2 linked regions of the Coturnix japonica genome follow. The protein of the gene in region 1 binds, or shares a complex with, the protein of each later gene. Links are inferred from orthologs where the notes say so. Each region holds a gene or a part of one and is shown on either strand. Other genes may lie near its edges. The genes, in order: CNOT6 and CNOT11.

What was found.
Region 2: CNOT6 (region 1) and CNOT11 share a complex: the UniProt entries of both Homo sapiens proteins name them as parts of the CCR4-NOT complex. The link is inferred for Coturnix japonica from reciprocal best matches to the Homo sapiens genes CNOT6 and CNOT11.

What each region holds. Positions count from the first base shown.
Region 1 is NC_029528.1:4,231,372-4,242,037, reverse strand, and holds part of CNOT6 (CCR4-NOT transcription complex subunit 6), read right to left. Parts: intron 5,400-10,666; 5' UTR 5,398-5,399; coding exon 5,286-5,397; intron 3,493-5,285; coding exon 3,306-3,492; intron 1-3,305. UniProt on the Homo sapiens protein: Poly(A) nuclease with 3'-5' RNase activity.
Region 2 is NC_029516.1:120,249,695-120,261,106, forward strand, and holds the start of CNOT11 (CCR4-NOT transcription complex subunit 11), read left to right. Parts: upstream 1-5,301; 5' UTR 5,302-5,373; coding exon 5,374-5,785; intron 5,786-5,931; coding exon 5,932-6,096; intron 6,097-8,541; coding exon 8,542-8,694; intron 8,695-9,235; coding exon 9,236-9,438; intron 9,439-10,064; coding exon 10,065-10,267; intron 10,268-10,548; coding exon 10,549-10,645; intron 10,646-11,188; coding exon 11,189-11,386; 3' UTR 11,387-11,412. UniProt on the Homo sapiens protein: Component of the CCR4-NOT complex which is one of the major cellular mRNA deadenylases and is linked to various cellular processes including bulk mRNA degradation, miRNA-mediated repression, translational repression during translational initiation and general transcription regulation.

The sequences.
Region 1 (10,666 bases):
CTCAGCTGATAATTATATCCGAGAAAACAAGTAAGCAAAAAATTCAGGACCATGGTAGTAATATGAGAGCTAGGACATTACTGTATTAGTGCAGTTACAGTTCTTTGTGGTTAAGGTCTTTTGATAACATATAAGAAGCAGTGTGCATGCCTCCCAGGTAATCCATTCTCTCCATATAAGCTGCTTGCTTTTGTCACACAAGCAAAGTGCATATTGATCTGCTGTGTACGCATGTCCAGGCACACAAAAAACGAGTTGTGTCTCTCACCAACACTGTTTGTTTTCACAACACAAAATACACCTTTTTTTTGTTTCCAAAATTGCAGAACAAACACAAGAACAGAATTTGTGTCTGGCGTTCTAACATTCCAATCAATCAGGCAGAGAAAAACAGACTTCTTAGCAAGCTTTCCAATTTCTTAAAAATCAACCCAAGCTGAATTGAAGACTTTGCTCACAATTTCCAGTGTTAATTTGCTTCCTTCAGATTTCTATGAGGTTGCATTTGAAAAAGAAACATCTCTTCTTCCAGCCTTGTAATAGTCAGCTCTACCAGGTCCTTCCCCAGCAGTGACTTCAGTGAACTCACTCGGTTTCAGCGCAGATTAGAAAGGGTGCTAAAGATCGAGGGGTTTGTTTCACCAATACTCTGAGGTGTGGAGCAGTGGAAGATGAAGGGGGAGATAAAGGCTGTTTGTAATCAGCCAGTTTACTAGAAATGGCAAGCCAGTACTCGGCTGACTGACAGGCTGTAACACACCGAGCCACCTGGTCTGTAGTTATTTTTGTGTGCTTTCTTTTTAATATGAAAATCCTACAGTTGAAAACAGCCTAACTCAGAAGCAGCCCACTGTGTCACTGTGGGTTTCTAAGTATGAACAAGACAAACAGCAGGTTAAAAAAAAAATAAATTATGATATTATTAAAAAAAAAAAAAAAAAAAAAAGCGAAAACATCAACATTCCCAACAGTTCTCTGCACTTCATAAACATTTAACATTGAAATAGGTGCTATTTTTTAGGGATAACATTACATGTGACATTACAAGGGTCCTAATTTATTCTTTAGGAAGACATTTTTTCCTACAGCAGCTTTTCAAAGCACTACTGAAGTTGAAAAAAAGAAATAAAAAAACCTAATTATATATGAATTAAAAAAATATATTTTAATAATAAATAATAATAATAGCTCTTCTACATCTTCTAGTGGAAAATGAGCAAGAAGGAAGAATGGCAGACAAGGAGGTATCATTACCACTCCTCTCCTGGATGAAAGAATTTGTTTCTCTAACGATCTATGCTTGCATGGAACCCTCCTGTACAGAAGGGACAATCACAGCAAATTCCACTAGTTCTTTCAAGTGTATCAAGAGAATCTGTTTCAGATCTGAGCTTTCTGAGATTGCATGTTACAGTTACTTCTCCTCTTTCCTCAAAGATCAGACATCTTACTGCTCCCCCTGACCCCTCTTCCTTCAGGCACCTGCAGTAAAAAGGGAGATGCCACGAGCCCTGGCTGAGCTCTGCCATAAAGCCCAAGCACAGTTCTCTAGATGTGGGAGTTATAAGACCTGTTACCAATGCTAAAGTGTGAGAGTGCAAATTATTTCTGTGGCTCAGGATATTAGCAATGCCTCGTGCTGAATTACTGTTAGTTTGATCAACTCCCCAGAATCTATGGGAAGCATCTGCAGTAAGAGCCAGCCTGAAACATAAAACTACAGCACAGCTGAGACCTGCAGAGCGCTATCACACAGGATGCACTTACGGATTTTTCTTCACTTTCACCACAGTGAAAAGAAATCATGGATCAGCTGCAATTACTGAGGACAGAGAGAGCGCAGTGGATTAATGCACTAGTTCTTTGTGTCTAGAGACCTGGATTTCAGTGATATGTTTTTGTCACAAACAGAACACTAGTTTGATCCTAGGCCTTAGCTACACATTTCACCCTCACTAGCTTTATCATTCTCTACTGAAGAGGGGTCTGGGACTTGGCAGAGCTGAAACTCCAGAGAATCAGGATAAATTGGGAAAGCATTGTGAAGATGGCACTGTATCTTTTGACACTACTGATGACTATGCAAGGGTAAGCTAACGTCAGGTAATGTGCATTAATTTAATAGCAACACTATAGAAGGAAAGAAAAAGACTGATGGAAATAAAATGATGCTGATGAAGTATAAAGATGAATTTGAGAATGCATCAGTAAATTTAGGATTGCTAGCTTACAATATCTGAGGAACAGATAAAGGAGAGAAGACAGTTATCATAGATTGAGATGTGAACTACTTTGGAATTTGAGCTTTTAGTTCTAATTTCATCTTTGCTAAAGTAGAATAAAATCCACTGACTAATATTTCTATGTAGAAACTTGCTTGGCCTTCAGTTTCATTAAAGCTCTGCTGGAGGACCATTACTTCTTTTTCTTCTTCCTTACTTCCAATAAAATTCCAGTTACTTTTAGATTCAGGGATTTCTGAGCTGACCATAAACATCTTCAAAATTAAAAGTAATGAAGTCAGATGCTGGTAATAAACCTAACAATAAAGCTTTTTTTTTTTCCCTCTGGTCAAGGGCAGAAGAATATTGCTTGTAGATATTTACCTTTATATGTCATTTATGTGTTTACATAACAGTGTTCTGCAAACAAAATGAAACATTGCAGTTTTAACTATAACACAAACACTCATTGCTACTCATGTTTCACTTCCAAAAGGAGGCATCATTCCATGAATACTCTGAGGAGCTAAACATTGTAAAATTCAGTGAAAAAGTTGCATATGGTAAATATTTTTTCCTCCTTAATTTACAGGAACGCAGTTAAATTACAGCAAAGTTGGGAAAGAGACGACATTAGGAAAGTTGCATTAGTTATTAAACCTAGAGAATAAGAACAAATATTATTAGGAATAATGAATAAATAATAAAAAACAGTAGTTAATACAACTGTTGATGTTTAATCGGACCTTTTTCCTACATTGCAATGAGCTAAAGGCAATTTTCTGCGTATTAGTATTTCTTAGTTAACTCCAGAAAAGAGTTTGGGAAGAGACGCATAGGAGAGGAAACCTGACTTGTAAAGACATAAAATGGGTGAGTGCTGTCAAACTGAGCATTTCTAGAGCTCATTACATATATATGATGTCATACATCAGAACAGGAGAACAAGTGAAAAAAAAAATAAGGAAGAGGGAATTTATTTATGCTTACATTTACTAGAACATCACTATTATGCCAAAACCCAAGCTGTTTGTACAAAGATAACAGCTAAGCAACTTTAACTCCTGTTATAAACCCACATACCTGAGTGACACCATGTTTCCGAGCTCTGCTGGTAAACTGCGGATTTTATTAGAGGACAGGTCCAGATAAACCAGATTATGAAGCTTGGCAATGTCTGAAGGAATACGGGATAAGGAATTGTCACTGAGATGCAAAGCTGTCAAATGGGTCAGTGTCCACAACGATGAACTTAAGCTTCTCACTTTCCCTGTGGAAGGACGGTAAAGAAAGAAAAATTCAAAAATTAAAATCAATGTATCTTATAGATTCAAAGAATTAAGCACTACCATATGTGAGACTGGGAAAAAACAACATAGACTTAAGTTCTGAGCTTTGGTCTTTTCTCAAGATCCATACAAAACAACAGACCTATTTACTGACCGTCCCCCCAACAGTTAACAGATGTTTTAAGAAACATTTCCTCAATTACTGTTCATGTTTGGGGTATAAGATGGCTCTTCAATTTTCCCCTACTTTCAAACCAAAAATCTTTGTTCTGTGGCATCCAGCCAGCCAGGAACAGACAGAAGTACTATATTCGGGGTGACCAAAATGCCTGGTTGAGAACACGGATTTCCATCTGGCATTCAGCTGAAAGCTGAATACATCACTGCCAGAGATTTTTTAAAAAGGTATAATTTTTGTATAAACTGAAAGATGGAAACATGGATTTCTGTTACAGAATCAAGGCTGTTACATCACAGCACACAAACAATGTGAGGTATAATCAGAAGGTCTCAAAACATTTCTTCTCTCCAAGACTTTTTTTCCCCCAGGAGGAGCCCTCTTTTCATTTACAAGAGTCACTTAACTGTGCCAACAGCACTGAAGGAAGAGCACCACCATCAGTTTCTCTAAGGTTAAAAAAGCTTGAAAGCCTTAAAAAACCTCAATGTTAAAAACAGCATCATTAAAAACAGCATCATTAATAAATACCCCAACGCAAACACATAATAATTCCTTTTATTATGAAGAACACTATTTAAGGAAACAACTCACATTTAGTGCCTGGGAAAAGCTACACTGATACATTTGTATCTGGAAGGCAGTCCCTGGTAACAAAATGTTTAATACAGGTGTACTTGTCAGGGAGCTACTTGCACACAAAAGCCCGCAGCAAAGAGCTCGGAGATTTCAATAAAAGCAATTAAAGCATTTGTGGCTTTCTGTAGCAGATGACCGAGTATTTTGCACGGAAAAGACACTGTGATCATCAATGGAACAAAGGCACTGCCACATTTTACTCTGCAAGGCAAATGCAAACAATTCCTTCAAGGGTTCATTCTCCTCTCAAGCTCATTAAGAATTTTTCTGAAACGTTTTTAAGTACAAATCAGGATTTCTCTGCGTTTCTTAAAGCTGCATTAACAACTCCTCCCTCTCTCCTACCCTCTAAATGCAAACAGGTGACTGCGATCAAAGAAACCTTTCGAGCAGGAAGGATTTATATATTCCCTTCACCACCTACATTTCTCTTGGCTGGAATCAGTCTATAGTGAGATCACAAAGCATGAAAGGAAAGAGCTATTACTTAATGCATTTCCTATGCATAAGTAGCAGATGTCCAAGTGGATATCCAAGCCTAAATTAATGCTTCTTGAAGCAGCATTTAACTAGGTTTCTGCACCTGTAACCTTTGAGTAAGTACTGTAATTCACATGTACTGGCATGTGGCACTTGAAAGATGACACAGATTCAGTGATCTGGAAGGAAAGACTTTACAGTTAGAAGTCTATTTGCTTTCTATACATTTATCTATTGAACAGCCATTTAGAAATACCAATCTTTTAAAGAAATTCCTTATTTAATCAGAATTTCAGCGTAAAACCTCAGTTTGTTATTGCTTCTTCCAGTCAACCACCGAATATAACACATGGAGCTTACAATTTCTTTCCTACAGCTGTTTCATACTCCCTATGTTTCTCGTTCCAGCTTGTACTGTGCAGGTTGCTTTTAAAATACACTGAAATCTTAACTGAGGATCATTAACCGGTTTCTCACCACTTATTTCCAACTCTGCCCAGTGTGATTTCTTTCCATTGGCTGCTTCCTCTGAGGACATAATTGTGTACATCCTCCGTGGATCAGGTGGATCGTACTTTTCCTTGGGCATTCCTGTCGATACAAAATCACAAAGGATTATGACATTTTATACTGAGAATTCTTTAAAAGGTAATTTCCATTCTACAGCTAAATATTGTACTGGATATTCAATACAAATATTTAAAGGTAATCTACATCCATTTCTAAGTGTAAAAGCCTGCTCTCTTAGAGGAGCTCAGATCCAATGGTATAAGATAAAAATCCAACCCCAGCCCCCAATAATTTAATTATGTCTGTAATGCAATACAAACATCCTGTCCTGACACCTTTCACAAGTACACCCCTGTATTGCTCTGCAGACATCCCATCATACCGCAGTCTCCTTCGCCTTTGGCCTACAGAAGCAGAACCTCCAGCAACCACTACTTGACAAAGAAACTTTCAGACTTTTGGGCTTTCTGTTCTCCTTGCTGGTCAGAAAGCTGCTTAGAATAATAACCACATCCAAATTCCTTAACAACAAGACTTCAGAAATTGATGAATACCACCACTACCATGTTCCCCTTCATATAAACTACTGAAAACACTTGCTACTATTCTTGTCTACCCATCACTTCCAGGCTTACTGCAGCCCTCAACTCACAACACAAATTCAGCAACCAAGAAAAGAATATTTCTAAAAGGATCCTCAATTCTTCAAGTCTGCAGAACAACAGTGCTCTAATCCAATCCTCAGCCTACTCTTCTGAGTCTAAAAACATCATTTCTAACATAGAGATTCAGATCAGTTTCTTAAGTTTTACCGTTAAGCATCTAACTGACCTTAACTTCCCTCACTCTCTTCCTCATCGTTCCTGATAAGAAATTCAGAAACATTTCTGATCAGTGCTTCTTTATTACTGCAGCCCAGTGTAGACAGTGGAAGAGAACTGCTAAAGGTTCTTCTAGGCAGAGCCCTCCCACCAGCATTCCTGTATGGCAGCAGAGCAGTACCAGCTCTGTGCACAGAGAAGGAATGAGAAGGTGGCACTGCTGTCTCCTCTCCACCTCAAGAAAACAGTATTTGGGATTCAGTCAGTAGAAAAGGGAAAATGGCTTAAACATACCTTGATTTATATAAATACTGCATGAATTGACCCATTAGTTGCATGTTTTAAGGTTACAAAGAACTTCCAATATACATCATTTTTACCACAAATAAACACTAGCTTAGAGTTCTATGCATACGTAAGAGCTTCTATGGCAAAGTTCCCCATCTTAAGTGGAAACATCCACACTGAGAAGCACGAGCCATAAACCATAGAAGTGATGTGTGTGCAATAACTAAGTTAAACAACAGCATCTCAAAACAAATTTACAAATACATTTCAAGCAATGCAATGCAATTCCTAGAGCAAAACACGTAACAGCAATGCAAAGAAATGCTGCTGACACCCCGACAACACCCAGCTATCACACCTAGCGAAGCTTTCTATCAAGTCTTTCCTTCAGCCCTGGACATACTTGAGTACATTAGAAAAGCACTGCACTCCAATGGAACATTAACAACTAATAATCCTCACAAGGCCATTGACCAGACCTACTTACCATTCATTTAATAAAAATTATTTAACACATTAAAAAACAGAAGACAGATAATTATGTGACTTTATTAAAACAAAGTCATCCAGCCCCAAGTGCTTACTGTAACGCAGTAACTCTTGTACTGATTCACACCTCTTCCCTTTCTCACTGCTGGTCAGAGTCAGCTCCACCCAGGGACAAGAAATTCCTCTTTAAGAAGTGAATTCTGGGTAAAGTGCTCAGATTATAAATAGCAGCTGGGATGGGTTCCTTACAGAATGGCCATACCTGAGTTCTGGGGATGCTAAAAATCATTAAGTGCTAAATCATCTTCTTTAAACTAAGTTCATTAAAAAGGTAAAAACTGAAAATCACCAGAAAGGTAAAAACATATTTTAACCTTCTAGTAGCTATCTAACGAATGTAATCATAAATGGCAAAACAATACATACAGCATCTCCTCTGAGCCTGCTACAAACAAGCACATGTTCACAAATGCCATCCCCACACAGAGCACTGCTGCTGTGCTCTTCCAGGGAGTGTTCTCCTCCCTCCCTCATCTGATACATTCTCTTCCTGCAGCTCCTGCACTTAATAAACGTGCTCCACTTTCTAAAAACGAAAGCAGGTAGTACCAGAGACAGAAATCTCATTCAGTACGGAAATGCGAATACTCCCCAGAGCACAGTCAATCACACGCACTAATTAACAGACTTGCTGGTACCAGCGCTACATGGCTCCCTGCTACCAAAGGAGGATGACATACTTTTCCAGTGGGTTTTGTTCATGCACGGTAACACAACTGATGAGATTTAACAACTGAAGGTTTTAACAGAGAATATCAGTGTGCCCGTCCTGCCAGTCTGTCAGTGTCACCATCTGACCCTTCTCAGCATTCCTCTTCGATGGATTTCCCTTTCTCACTGCTGCATTTCAAAGTGCAAAGACTAAGCCTAGGATCACTCAATAGCAGAAAAAGCAGCGAGTGCAGACAGGGCAGCTTTGCTCAAGGAGCAGTCCTGGCTGCAAGGAACAGCACCGACGTGGGAAGTCACCCCAGCAGATCTTTGTGCACCTTCATTCATCAGGTAGAGCTGAAGATCTCCCAGGCCCTGACAGCCAGACTAAATGTGGGTCACGTTGGCCACCACAGAACACAAATGGGATGCCTTGAACTAAATTTCAAAACTTCCCAGCAGGGAGTAGATGGATAAATCACTGCTTTCTACAAATCACTGTCTCCTTTCTCCACCTCCCCCATTCCAAATTTAGAACCTGCTGAGGTAAATGTCAGATGAAGGGATATGGTTTTGTCAGACTAAAGCAATTTTAAGAGGCATAAAACGGTGCTGGACAACCTCAAAGCCTTTGATAAGGGCTGCTCTAATAATTAACTTAACACAGCCATCATTTACATCTCATTTTCATAAGAGTTTACACCATCTGTAATTTTCAGTTGCACCAGCACAGTCTGGGGAAAGCATTGCTGAATACTCAGCTGTTACACACACCACTTAGTTGGTAAGGGAGAAACAGTTTATCAACAAAGATAGGACACAGATAACAGAATGCATTCCACACAACCAAAATTAAATGTGAGGGCGTGTGATTATGTTTAAATGCAAATTAAATTGTTTACTATCTTGTACCGGCTTGTTAGAACTACATTTAAAAGATGAAACAAAATTGCTTGAGAGCTGATGACAAGGACAGCTGCCCACTCCAACCCCGGTCACTCAATCCCAATGCAGAATTAGGACTCCTAACCTCACAGGAGCTGAGTTAAACCAGGCTGGTGATGTCAAGAGCAAAAAGGATGTGACACAGGAAATCAGATGGAGAATCTTCAATGCAGACACAACTTTATGCCTTTGTTTGCATGAATGGCTCTGAGAGAAAGAGAGCAAAAAGAGACACAAAGTGAAGAAAAATATTGAAGATTGCCAAGTCAAGGGAGGCCAAACCGTTAGGAGAGCTGACAGTGATGACTAATGCAACAAATGGATGATGGAGTGCTGATCTGGGCATCTCTCAGGATCACTAGAGACAAAGCAAATTACCACAGGGCTGAGTTGCACCTGCGCCAATTGCTGCCCAGTTCTCCAGGTTAAAGCAATGAGTGAAGTCAGGTGATTAAGAACCAGGTTAGCTGTTCTAGAGAGCTGTCCTGGAAAAGAGAAGGTGTCATCACCAGCAGCTGTGTGAGTGCTGCTCCATTAAGCAGGTGCTGCTCTGCTGTTGAAGAGCATTTGTAGCTAAAGCACCAGTGCTGTTGGGAGTATAGGCTTAGGGGAAGTTAATGGCCTATAAAGGGAGAGCTGCCTAAGGGTCAAGTCATTTCTGCTATGGTGCTTTCCACATAAGGATGAGGAAAGGCCACAGCACAAGAAGCAGCCCTATGGAGCAGTACGTCTCTTAAGTTTAAGCAAAATAAAAGGCGGAAGTTGGGTTACAAGGCGGCTAAAAATCCAAACAACTCTAGAAGGTATTATTAATTAATGCCTCTGAACTGGAGAGGTGATAGTGTGGGGGAACCACTTGGAGTGACAAATTTGGAAAGAGGATGACTTTTTCTTCCTTCTATCCTTCCCTTTTGCTAGTTTTATGCAATCAGAAAATGGCAGGAGAGCAGGGCTTAACCAAAGTAAAGCTTTTCCTATTAAAATAGAGAACAAAAAGCTACAGATTTACATCTGAAACACCACGGACAAATTTTATTTCAAAGCTAAATATGTTAGGCAACTCCTGTAAGCCAAGTCTACCATCCATCCTTCAACTATTAAGTTCCCCATAAAACATTTCCTAGAAGTACTAACTTCTTCCATATCATATATTAAACCAGGTGAAGGAAACTTTTATTTTGAAGCTTTACATGAAACACTGAACCAATGAAAGCAGTGTAAGTTAGTATTTAGATACCATTTTAACTTCCTCTGACTCCATCTGTTATTCTGGAAGAATTACTGTAGAATCTATGAAGGAGCCTCTGCAAAGTCTACTTACAAATACATAAGGACCCTTAGATGTACCAATGCACAAGGCTTGAGCAGCAGGAATCAGCTTCTGAAACTCTCTGACATAAGCTGAGGACTTCTCGCTTCTTTTCCCCCATTACTTGAGAACACTAAAACTGATATAGATCAGAAAGCTTCTGGAAAGGAGAAGTAAACAAAGTAAAACTACACCTGACTGAGTGCATTGTGAAACTTGTTTCTTTTTACATCAAAATTGTGAATAAACTATAAAAATCAAGTAAGGCTGGAAGCAAGCAGATAAATGAAGTGTGTTTTTCTTGTATAATAAGCACACACTGACTGGCTGCCAGGATACTTCTGCTCTGTTGAAAGCAGTAGGAGAGGCTGCAATCTGCAGTACTAAAACAATGTTTACTATATAGTATAACCTAGTCAGTCGATCAAAGATCTAATAAGATGATTATAACCCGTGAAGCCTTCTTTTTCCCCCTCTCCAACACTGGATATTCACACCAGATCAGTCCTTTGTAACTTTGTGCCTCTAACCTTGACACTTCTCCATGTAATCAGAAGCTATATTCAAAAATCAGATCCAAAGGTTTTTCCCCACAAATAAGTGATTCTGGTGCTGCCTGATAAGCCTTGAACTCAAAGTTAATTTGGGATTCTCCTCACACTCAACTGTTTGCATTGTGGTTTCACATCACACTAAGCAGAACTAAGCTGGTCTTCCTGCGGTTCCTCCCTCCTCAGGACTCTGTTTCCCCTCCACTCTTGCATCAACGCTGATTCTTCCTCTGT
Region 2 (11,412 bases), on another chromosome or scaffold:
TGACCCACCAGTGCTATAATGAACCAGAGAGGGAGATCAGCGCGTGAATGAGGCATTGCTGCTGCCTGCAAGATGGCTGTGCCAGACTGAGGGAACCACTGTCATGTCGATTAGATGAGTTTTAATGCTGTGATAGTAGGATGTCTGTGCTGTGGTTGCTGATGCCAAACCACAGGCTCCAGCGAAATAGTAGGTGGCTGAGAGAGAGTGCACTTCTCCAGCTACACCGACTGCATGCGTGGGTCCTTATTGTGATCTCTGAGAGAAACATGGGAATGACTGGCAGCCAGGGGCACGGCTGGATAGGTCTGCAGATGGTGGCTGATGGCAGGGAAACATTTATGAACACAAGCATGGGATGCATAGTTCATGAATAAAAGGATCCTGAGAAAAGCGAGTGTTTCCCCCTCTGGACAAAGCAATGCCTTTTTACAAATAGGAGGTTTCTGCCCACTGTTCCATTATTTGAACCACCTTACCATCTTTTGTCCTGGCCTGTGTAGTTATATGCTGAGGTCAGATCACCTGATGGGAAAAGATGGTTTAATTATATGTGAAACGCTTACAGAATGGTTTCAGCTGCTGAAGGCAAAATGGCTCAGCCTCCCAACTTGTTTGGATGCCAGTGTGCTCCGTGCCATTGGTGTTAACACAGCACTCTGCTTCTGCAAGAACATCAGTCAAGGTTACACTCTCTTTTTTGAGGTAACATACGTGCTTGCGAGGGTTTTATAAAATAACTGGTTAGATGTGAACCTATCCCTGTTTTTCTTGTGCATTTTGTTCACCATAACAGCATTTACCTATAAAACACTTGCCAGGTATTAACGGAGATGGGGATGAACCCTTCTCTAGCACTGGCTTTGCATTTCTTTTCCACCATGTTCCTTCAGCCACCGCTGAGAAGCTCCCTGTAACATCACCTCAAAATTCAGTCACTCTGAGGGTGAGTCAACAGTCCAACAACCCCAGCTGCTTCTCTTCCCTGTGCTGTGGCTCTCTCCCTATCTCTGAAATACTGCCAGGTACCCAGGAGAGCCCCTCTAGGAACACCTAGTGGTGCTCAGGGATATGATTTAGCAGAGGGTTGTTAGAGTTAGGGTACTATGGTTAGGCTGTGGTTGGACTTGATGATCTTCAAGGTCTTTTCCAACCTGGGTAATTCTATGATTCTATGATTCTCTGAGCTGTCACTGCAGCCCTTCCCATCCTTGAGACTTGAGGGGGTTACACACATCACAGCAGAGTTACAGCTGCACAGAAGTAGACTTGCTATCAAGGTGCTGCTGCCTATCAGCAGAGTTCAGCCAGCTGACTTCTCTAGGGAGGGAATGGATAAGGTCTCTGTCCCAGCCACTGACTGTCATAGAGCGTGCACACATTTAACACTTCTGAAATACTTTTGCCTTTTGGTCATGTCCAGCTAAAGAAGATGAATGGTCAGAAGATGATGGGGGGAGGGAAGGAGCCAAGGGGGCTGATTTGATAGACTGACAAATAGACAATGCGATTGCATCAGTCTCATTTCCTTAGGAAACTAGGCTAAAAATAAAAAGGCTTTATTTGCTCCTGGGAATAAAGCAGAATGTCTCTCACATCTTTACAAAACATTTGTTTCTATGTGTACTTATAAACAGTCAGGATGGGAGAGGAAGTTTGCACCGGGTTTTGAGAAGAAAATTACAAGGAAGAGCCAGAGGTGCATGAGTTTGAAAACCCAGGATACTTGTAGACATACAGCACAGCAATAGAGGCAAGGTCTTGCACACAAGTGCCACATTACTGATGCGTCAACTGTTGGCCTGCAAACCAACCTGCCTGTTAGGCAATTTTTTACCTCTCCACAGAATGAACACACTTCTTCTTTGGTGAACATGGATCAAACCCTATGTGCACTCTGAAGTCAGCAGGCTCTCACAGATGGAAGTTGCTGTGTTTGATCAGATTTACCATCCAGAGATTACTGTTACCAAGACTAGCTACTTCAGAGGAAACTCCCCCCAGAAAGGCCTGTTTCTGCATAGAAAATGCCTTTTGTTTATGAGATCTAAAATGACTATTTCGCTGTTTTATCAGCTGGTCCCACACTGGGGGTGTGCTTTTATAGCTGTATTTAATGGACAGGGAACCAAGTAGTTCCACATCCTCCAGAAACCTCTGATTGCTGTGAGACATGACTGCCAACACAACATCCACAAAAAGGGAACAGGTCCGTCCAGGTCCCATTGAATGGCAGCACAGCCGTCTGGGGTGTGTGTGTGTGGCTGGTGCAGCTTGTCAATGCTGCTGTTTGAGCATCACCTCCAAGTGACCATACATGCAAGTGACACTTGGGTGAACTGAATGGCTGCTTCGCATCCTGCTCACTGAATATACAGAAGCTCCCCCCGAAAGCAGTGCTCTCTGCAGGGTGTAACAACTGAGTTATTCAGCAAATGAGAATGGTGATGTGTCTATCTTCCCGTTTCATTTTGCTGTTTGTTTTTCTTAGCCCGAGTTAGTGTGTTCCATAACTCAGCTAATTCCTATCTACGGAGTATCCTGGAGCAGTTTTCTTCACTGTGAAGATAAAACACTGCATTCACCAACAGCACTGACTGGGTCTGCGTCATTAATATCTTCACTTTGACCACAGCAGATAAACAAAGATATGTGCAGATACAGTGATCTGTTGTTTTTCCCTTTTACTTCCTTGTGCCGAGGATTATGGCTTGCTTGTTTGAAGACACTGAAAACAATATACTTCTAATGCAGCTGATTGCAACAAACAGCATGGGGGAGGATGGAGGGAGGATTTAACTGGTAAGAGATAGTGAAGGTTTATTTTAGTAGATAAATATTGTACTGCATTTGCCTCGTCTTTGAATCGCATTAAATATACACACTCTTAAAACACTATTGAAATGTTCGAATGCCAACATTGCAAATGAAAATCAATAGGATGCTATTAGGCTCGTTATATTGCTGCGATGCATCATTAAAATGCATTTTAAAAGCTTTCAATGCAAAATGGGAGATGGGATGAATGTTTTGAGGAAGTGCAGCACACTTAGAGACGGCCACAAGAGAAACTTGGTAGGCAGATGGAATGAAAGCCCTGTAAGGAGTTCAGTAGATACAGGAAATAAATGGGAACATTACAAAATGAATGAGACGAATCTCTGATACAGACAAAACAGTGGAGCTTCACTGTTGCTGGAGGAAAGTAAAATCACCCAATACTTGTTCTTTCTAAAGGGAAAGAATGAGGAGGGACTCTCTCAATGTCTGGGAGTTTAAACAGGCAAGAAGGACAACGCATTTCCAGTCCCCAAACACACACGTTGTTCTGCTTTCATACCTGACCGCCATTGCTTGCACTGTTCCTGGCACAGGATGAGAACACAAACCCTCATCCTGCACCTCACTGAGCACTTTCTCACTAAAACCATCAGATCCTGCTTTTCTCCTTTCCTTCCAGGAGTCCTCAGTTCCTATAAACAAAGAAAAGTAACTTCAGACAGAGATGAATATTCCCCCCTGCTCCTACTAGAGCCATAGCCTGGATTTGAGTTCAGCACCCTACAGGCAGAGGAAGAAACAGAAGCTGAAAGTCCCCCCTCCTCGAGCATCAGCTCTGATCAGCTCTGAATTATTAAACACTTTATCAGAAAGCAGATTTCAGATTAGTGGTTTAAGCACAAACAAAGCCCTCCCTCCTGCAAAGATCCAACTGATATTGATTTGAGATGAAAACAGAAACAAAGCGTAAGTCGGAGTCATCGAACCAGGGAACAGAAATAGTGCCAAGTGAGTCAGGCGTGCAATTGCAGAGCTCAGACGATAAAAGCTGAATACTCCAATTCAAGTTCAGAGTGAAGAGTTTCCAAGTGATGTTCACATAGGAATCCAAGTAATCATAGAATTACCCAGGTTGGAAAAGACCTTGAAGATCATCAAGTCCAACCACAGCCTAACCAGCACCCTAACTCTAACAACCCTCTGCTAACTCATATCCCTGAGCACCACATCCAAATGGCTCTTAAACACAACCAGGGATGGCGATTCAACCACCTCCCTGGGGAAAATAATAATAATGACTTGACATGGGCTGACACTTGAAAACTGCCTTAAAATACCCAAGTGTCACTACAGTTCACAGAAGCTCAAGAATTTATCACCAACCATGTTTGTTTCTGAATGACCATGGAACAGCACATATGAAGCCATTGTAAAATCGTATCTGGGGTGTTTTTACAAAATACATCCAAGAATCGCTTGACATCTTTGAGGTCTGATGAACAAGTGAAGCTCAGGAAGGCTTTTAGGCATTGTTAGCACGCCAATATTGTTGATTACTCCAGGAGTAATAAATCTGTTTCTGTTGTCTCATGGTAGGTTTTGAACTGAAGAGCTGAACTAGGAAAGATAACATGCAATGGTCACTAGAAAGCTGCATATGGAGAGGCTCACACGAAACCTAACTTCCCCAACCCTTTTAGATTTGTTGCTATTAAAAATACACTGTAGATGGGCAGGGTCACTTAAATTACTAAGGGAAGGAATCTGTGTACAAGAGAAAAGCCTTGTGAGAATAAACAAAACAATCTGGATGTGTTCTGATTTCCCCTTTGACTTCAAGGTGTGACTTAATTCCTTCCCATCGTGTTCTTCCCATGTGAAATGTGGGATAAAAATACACCAGTGGAAGTTATTTCCTAGCTGAAGGATTCAGCTTCTTCGCTAGAAGAAACTCAAACACTTGCTGTGAAGCAGGTCAATTTAATATCACTTCTTTGCCACCTTTTTCTTTCACCTCCCTCCTGCTGCCTATTTCTGTTGCTACCTGAGCAGAAGCACCACAGATCTACTTGAGAGTGGATGAGCACCCAGACAACTTGCACACACCAGAAGCACAAAATCCGCTGCTCAGTTTCAGGTCACAGAATCTCAGAATTGTAGGGGTTGGAAGGGACCACTAGAGGTCATGGAGTCCAACCCCCCTGCCAAAGCAGGCTCCCTACACCACGTCACACAGGTAGGCGTCCAGGCGGGTCTTGAATATCTCCAGAGAAGGAGACTCCACCACCTCCCTGGGCAGCCTGTTCCAGTGCTCCATCACCCTCACTGTAAAGAAGTTCGAACTTCCTATGCTGTACTTTCATCCCATTACCCCTAGTCCTATCAGATGACAGCACCACAGGGCGGTGTGCGTGGAACGCGCTGCGCTCCCCCTACTGGCCCCAACGCCCGTCGCGCTCCGTCCCCGCCCCGCCCCGCCAGTCCCGGCCCAATGTCCCGGCCCATCCCCTGCCGTGCCGTAAAGCGCGTCCGGCGCCTCAACGCTCGGCCTTCCGGTGTTGTGCAGCGGCGGGGCCGTGCGCCGTGAGGCGGATGCCCGGGGGCGGGGGCAGCCCGGCCGAGGCGGGCGGTGAGGCGGGAGGAGCGGGTGGCGGCGGTGGAGCGGCGGGCGGCAGGATGAGCCTGTCGCCGAAGGAGCTGACGAGCCTGCTGGGCATCGTGTCGGAGGAGGCGGGCGGCAGCACCTTCGAGGGCCTCTCCAGCGCCTTCCACCACTACTTCGGCAAGGCCGAGCATTTCCGCCTGGGCTCCGTGCTGGTGCTGCTGCTGCAGCAGCCCGACCTGCTGCCCAGCCCCGCGCAGCGCCTCACCGCCCTGTACCTGCTATGGGAGATGTACCGCACCGAGCCCCTCGCCGCAAACCCCTTCGCCGCTGTCTTCGCCCACCTGCTCAACCCCGCTCCCGAACGCGGCGGCGACGAGGCGGAGCGCACCCCGCTCTCAGGTGCCGGGAACGGCCGGGGCTGTGACAGCGGGAAGGGTCACTCGTTTTGCCGTAACGTTACTGTACGAGATGATCTCTCCACGCTTAAGGAGCACGCGGGGTAGTGATGGCCTCAGGAATCTTACCGCTCCCCTCTCTCCCCGCAGGCTTCTTGCCGCCCATAACCCCGCCCGAGAAGTTCTTCCTCTCGCAGCTGATGCTGGCCCCCCCCAGGGAGCTGTTCAAGAAGACCCCGCGCCAGATCGCTGCCATGGACGTTGGCAACATGGCCCAGTCGGTGGATATAAGCGGGCTACAGCTGGCATTGGCGGGTAAGGAGGAGATGTGGCTGTGCTGTGATAGGAGAGTGGTTAGGCCCTGGAACAGGCTGCCCAGGGAGGTTGTGGATGCCCCGTCCTTGGAGGTGTTCAAGACCAGGTTGGACGGGGCCCTGGGCAACCTGATCTAGTAAATGTGTATGTTTGGTGGCCCTGCCAGGCAGGGGGGTTGGAACTACATGATCCTTGAGGTCCCTTCCAACCCGGGTCATTCTGTGATTCTGTGAAATGTTAATTGCTGTTTGACTTTGAGGTGCTTCTGTCTGTGTGGCAAAAGTTGGACTGTGGTCAGGTTTTGCAGTGTTAGCTCACACTAAATGTTCTGCCTTTACTAGGCTATAAGGAACTCAGTGCTTATTCTTGGGCAGGAATAGGATTGTTCTGATCGTGTGGAGCAACAAGTTGCATCTAGAGCTGATCTGAAATGGAAAATATTGCTTAGAATGAGTTGCCAACTCGAGCAGTTTATTTCCTAGGTACTCTATTCTGCACAATACAGTACTTGGCTTCTAAACTTCAGTTCAGTTGGTGACGTACTGTAACAGGTTGCCCAAGGAGGCTGTGGATGCCCCATCCCTGCAGGCATTGAAGGCCAGGCTGGATGTGGCTCTGGGCAGCCTGGTCTGGTGGTTGGTGACCCTGCACATAGCAGGGGGTTGAAACCAGATGATCACTGTGGTCCTTTGCAACCCAGGCCTTTCTATGATTCTATGATTCACTGTGGTAACTTTTCTTGTAGGCTCTTCTATTGAATGTCAGTTGCTGGAATAGAGCGTCTTGATTCTCCAGATCAAGAGAGCCTGATAAAACATAAGTGATTGCATTCGTAGGAATTGTTTTCTTCAATTTGAACATACTGGTTCAAGTTGCTGTGTTCTCTTCTGAAATACAACCGTGTTCTAGCTAACAGCGCTCACCCCTTCCTTCTGCTTACACTGGGCTGCCCAGGGATGTGGTGGGGTCACCATCCCTGGAGATGTTCGGGAACATGTAAGAATGTATCTTAAACTTTTGTTCTAATTAAGCATCATTAGTCATTTGAGATGAGGGGATTTGAGGGTATACAACCAATCCATGACTTTATACCTATATAGGTGTAAGTTTTAGACTACGGATGACAATGAAGGACACCCAGTATGTCACCTTGTTTTCTTCTCAGAGAACTTCTTACGTTGACTCAGCTGATCCCTGTAGGAGCTGAATGGTAGAACTCACAAGCTGGAATTTCCAACAGCGTATAAAGTTTGAGCATATATTCCAGTGTTTTGCATGGGCTGACATAATTGGAAGATGGACATTTCTAGTATAAACTAGCAGTAGGCAGAGCTTTGTGTCTGTGTCCTTTTGTTACCTACAGGAGTTTTGCTGTAAGCGTCTCTCATGGATCTGAAATAGAGTTTCATACGGATGAGGAGCTGCAAAGGGTTATATGGCTGCACAAAAAAGTGTGCTTTGTTAAAAGAGATAAGGATGGGGTACTGAAGCTGAGGGCACTACACTTAATTAATCATCCGGATAAGAAATGGTGTTGATTTCGTGTGGGACCAGCAAATTTGGCCTTCAGATTACTTGAGACTTTATCTGCTACTTAATATCCTCCTTGGGAGGGGGAGGGAAGGAACATAAGATGGCATTGTATGGCAGGCTCTTGGCTTTCCTGCATGTTGTTGGGCTTTTGTTGGTTTGCTTTTACCAAGGTAATAGAAAACATGGTTCTCACTAATACAGAGAATATGGAAGGTCAGCCCTTAAGCCTTCAGGTATGGAAGAGCGAGAGACTGTGACAGAAGAACACCTAAAATTTGACAGTGCAAATATTGATTGGTTGTAATAGTTTATTTTACCACTCTTTCACGTCTTCAGCTTCATATGCTAAATTTAGTATTACTTCTATGTACCTTGTTTATGCTCTGTAATTTGGGCTTTAGAGGGATGCTCTTACAGGACTTTATAGCTGTAACTGTAGAATCCTGTATCAATTAAACTCCTATGCAAAAGCAGCTTACGTGGTGCCACTGAAGTGTGTTGGCTGAATCTGAATAGGTGACTTCAGTTCTAGTATGACCCTTATCATTGCAGAAAGTAAATGTATCTCTGCAGGTTTCTCTCTTCACTGCTCTGAGAAATGATTGCAAAAGTAGATAGAGTTATGCGAACTCTTTCAGGACTATCATGTGGATGTACTGATTTGCTTGTAATATCACATTGCATCAGTTACTTAAAGTCAAGTCTGAGATTCATTTCTACTTCCTCATCCTTGCTGCTGGCTGCCTTCTATCATCTGGTAGACTCAATAGTAGCAAGTACAGAACTAAATTCCATGTTGTTATCTGTTCGGGTTTTGATTTATTGCAGCTAAAAAAGCTTTTGCTTAGCTTCTAGCATTTTGTCATCTCTTTCAATTCCATGCTTTAATACTGTGGACTGTCCTTCTTGCAGAGCGTCAGTCTGAGTTGCCGACACAGAGCAAGGCCAGCTTCCCCAGCATCCTCAGTGATCCTGACCCAGATTCTTCCAACTCCGGTTTTGACAGCTCTGTTGCCTCCCAGATCACGGAAGCATTAGTGAGCGGACCAAAGCCTCCTATAGAAAGTATGTACGTTTTCACATCTTTTTGTTTAACCTCACGGTGTGCTACGTTGTTAGTCATCTCCAGATGAAGCATAGTATGACTCAAAAATGTTTTCAAGGTATGAAATGGGAATGAAGATGAACGAAGCAGTGCAGAACTGTATTAAACTGTCTCCAGATCAGTCTCCGTCATGTTCCCATTTCCAGGCTTTTCAAAACCTGGAGTCTGCCTCAGTCTGATAGATGTGTTACCTGATGCTCCTCAACTCGCAGCCCCTTGCACTAAGTTCTACTGTAACACATCAAAGAGTCAGTAGCATGGGAGAGAAAAAGACCATTCATCAGTGAAAGAAGCAGTAACGTAGCGATCCAATTCAAGAGGAAAAACAGGCTGATGTAACAGCATCACTAAAAATGAGGAATAAATACTTTCCTGGGAGGAAAATAAGACCGTCATGTGCTTCCCACTGTTGCTCTAGCTTAAAAAGTTGAGAACCTTGGAGATACCCTTGTACTGAAATAAAATGGAGCTCAATGTATTTCACTTTGTTGTCTTTTTTAGGTCACTTTCGGCCAGAGTTCATTCGTCCACCACCTCCGCTCCATATATGTGAGGATGAATTGGCATGGTTAAATCCCATAGAACCAGACCACGCGATTCAGTGGGACAAGTCAATGTGTGTTAAAAACAGCACAGGAGTTGAGATAAAAAGAATTATGGCAAAAGCTTTTAAAAGTCCCTTGACTTCCCCACAGCAAACACAGGTAAGTATTGTGCCATTTCCTGCTTAAATTGATTTTCGAGCAGGCTGTCTATTAAACCTACATGTTTTCAGTTTAAATTATCCTAGTTTTCTAATTCAGATTTCTGTAATGATTGGGTAAGCATCCAGTAATCCAAGCTCTCAAAACTCAGTGCGTTTTTACTCTCAATAACTTCCTGAAGGGAGGTTGTAGTGAGCTGGGGGTTGGCCTCTTCTCTCAGGTAATTGGTGATAGAACTAGAGGGAATGGTTTTAAGCTGTGCCAGGGGAGATCGAGGCTGGACATTAGGAAGTATTACTTTTCGGAAAGGGTAGTCAGGCATTGGAATGCACTGCCCAGGGAGGTGGTGGAGTCACCGACCATGCAAGTGTTCAAGAAACGTCTGGATGTTGTGTTGATGAATATGATTTAGCTGGGAAGTATTGGTAATGGTTGGACTAGATGATCTTCTAGGTCTTTTCCAACCTGATTCTGTGCTTTTGGTTATAGTACATATGAACAAGATAAGTCTTTAAACTTCATAGCGTTGACTGGATGTAGTTAAAAGCTGATCAGTAAGCAAGCGGAACTGATACCTTTCTGTGTGTGAAATCTCTTGATAACCAAGTTCCTTTTCCCTTCTACAGCTCCTTGGAGAACTGGAAAAGGACCCCAAGCTTGTTTACCATATCGGTCTCACTCCTGCCAAACTGCCAGACCTCGTTGAAAACAATCCTTTAGTAGCCATCGAAATGCTGCTCAAACTGATGCAGTCCAGTCAGATAACAGAGTATTTTTCTGTCTTGGTCAACATGGACATGTCCTTACATTCAATGGAAGTTGTCAATCGGTAAGTGGATGAGTGGATAAGCCAAATGATATGAAGAATCTCAGTACTCAGGCAGTATGGAGGATTGAAATTATATTGATTCACTTCTATAATTTACAGCAAATGTTTGTGTTAATGTCAGATGTACTGAAGCCCAAATTCATCTCTGCTTCTGTACTGGGTTGGGTTTAAAAATGAAACATGATCAGCAATAGATTAATATCACAGGTCTAACTCTGTTCTGCAATGGAATCGCTGAATTTATGGCTTCATGAAGTATTTGATGTCTTTAATTTGAACAGGCTTACTACTGCAGTTGATCTCCCTCCTGAATTTATTCATCTTTACATCTCCAACTGTATCTCCACTTGTGAACAGATTAAAGACAAATACATGCAGGTGAGTGCCCTACTAAGTGGGTTAGGAAAAAAGGTCCCATATCTTGCTCTGTGTAATACATGCTTAGACTTTGTTAAGCTTAGCTCACACCAGGTGTGGTGAGTCTTGACCAGTTCCTCCCTTGGCTTTCTTTTCTCCATGCTGAAGGACTGCAACCTCATCAGGCTTGTGCAAAGCAGCCATTACTTTCCTTTAAGCTTTTTGGTTTCTTTCTTGAGTGCCTGCTGTAGCTCTCAGATGGTTTGAGATGTCCCTGGTTGTGACAGCATCTTAAGCTATCATCCCTTCTCTCAGGACTTTATAAAGTTACATAATAAAGAAGTACAGTACTGTAAAGCAGAGGAGCCTGCTTTTTTTAGATACAGTAGTGATAGGAGAGGTAGAAGAGCATGAGCAGCATGTTCAGAGCTTGAGAACAAGAGGACTGCTGTACCAAAATTACTCCTGAAGTGAAGGGGCTGTTGCACTGCTGAGGGCCAACACACAACTGCACTAGCTGTAAATACATATGAAGGTTGTGAAACCATCTCTCTTCTGTTTCAGAACCGCCTGGTACGCCTTGTTTGCGTCTTTCTTCAGTCTTTGATCAGAAACAAAATTATCAACGTTCAGGACTTGTTCATAGAAGTGCAAGCGTTCTGCATTGAGTTCAGCCGGATCCGAGAAGCTGCTGGCCTCTTCAGGTTGCTGAAAACCCTGGACACTGGGGAAAACCCATCAGAGACAAAAGCTTCTAAATAAGACTGTGCTGTCAGTGGAGGGGAAAA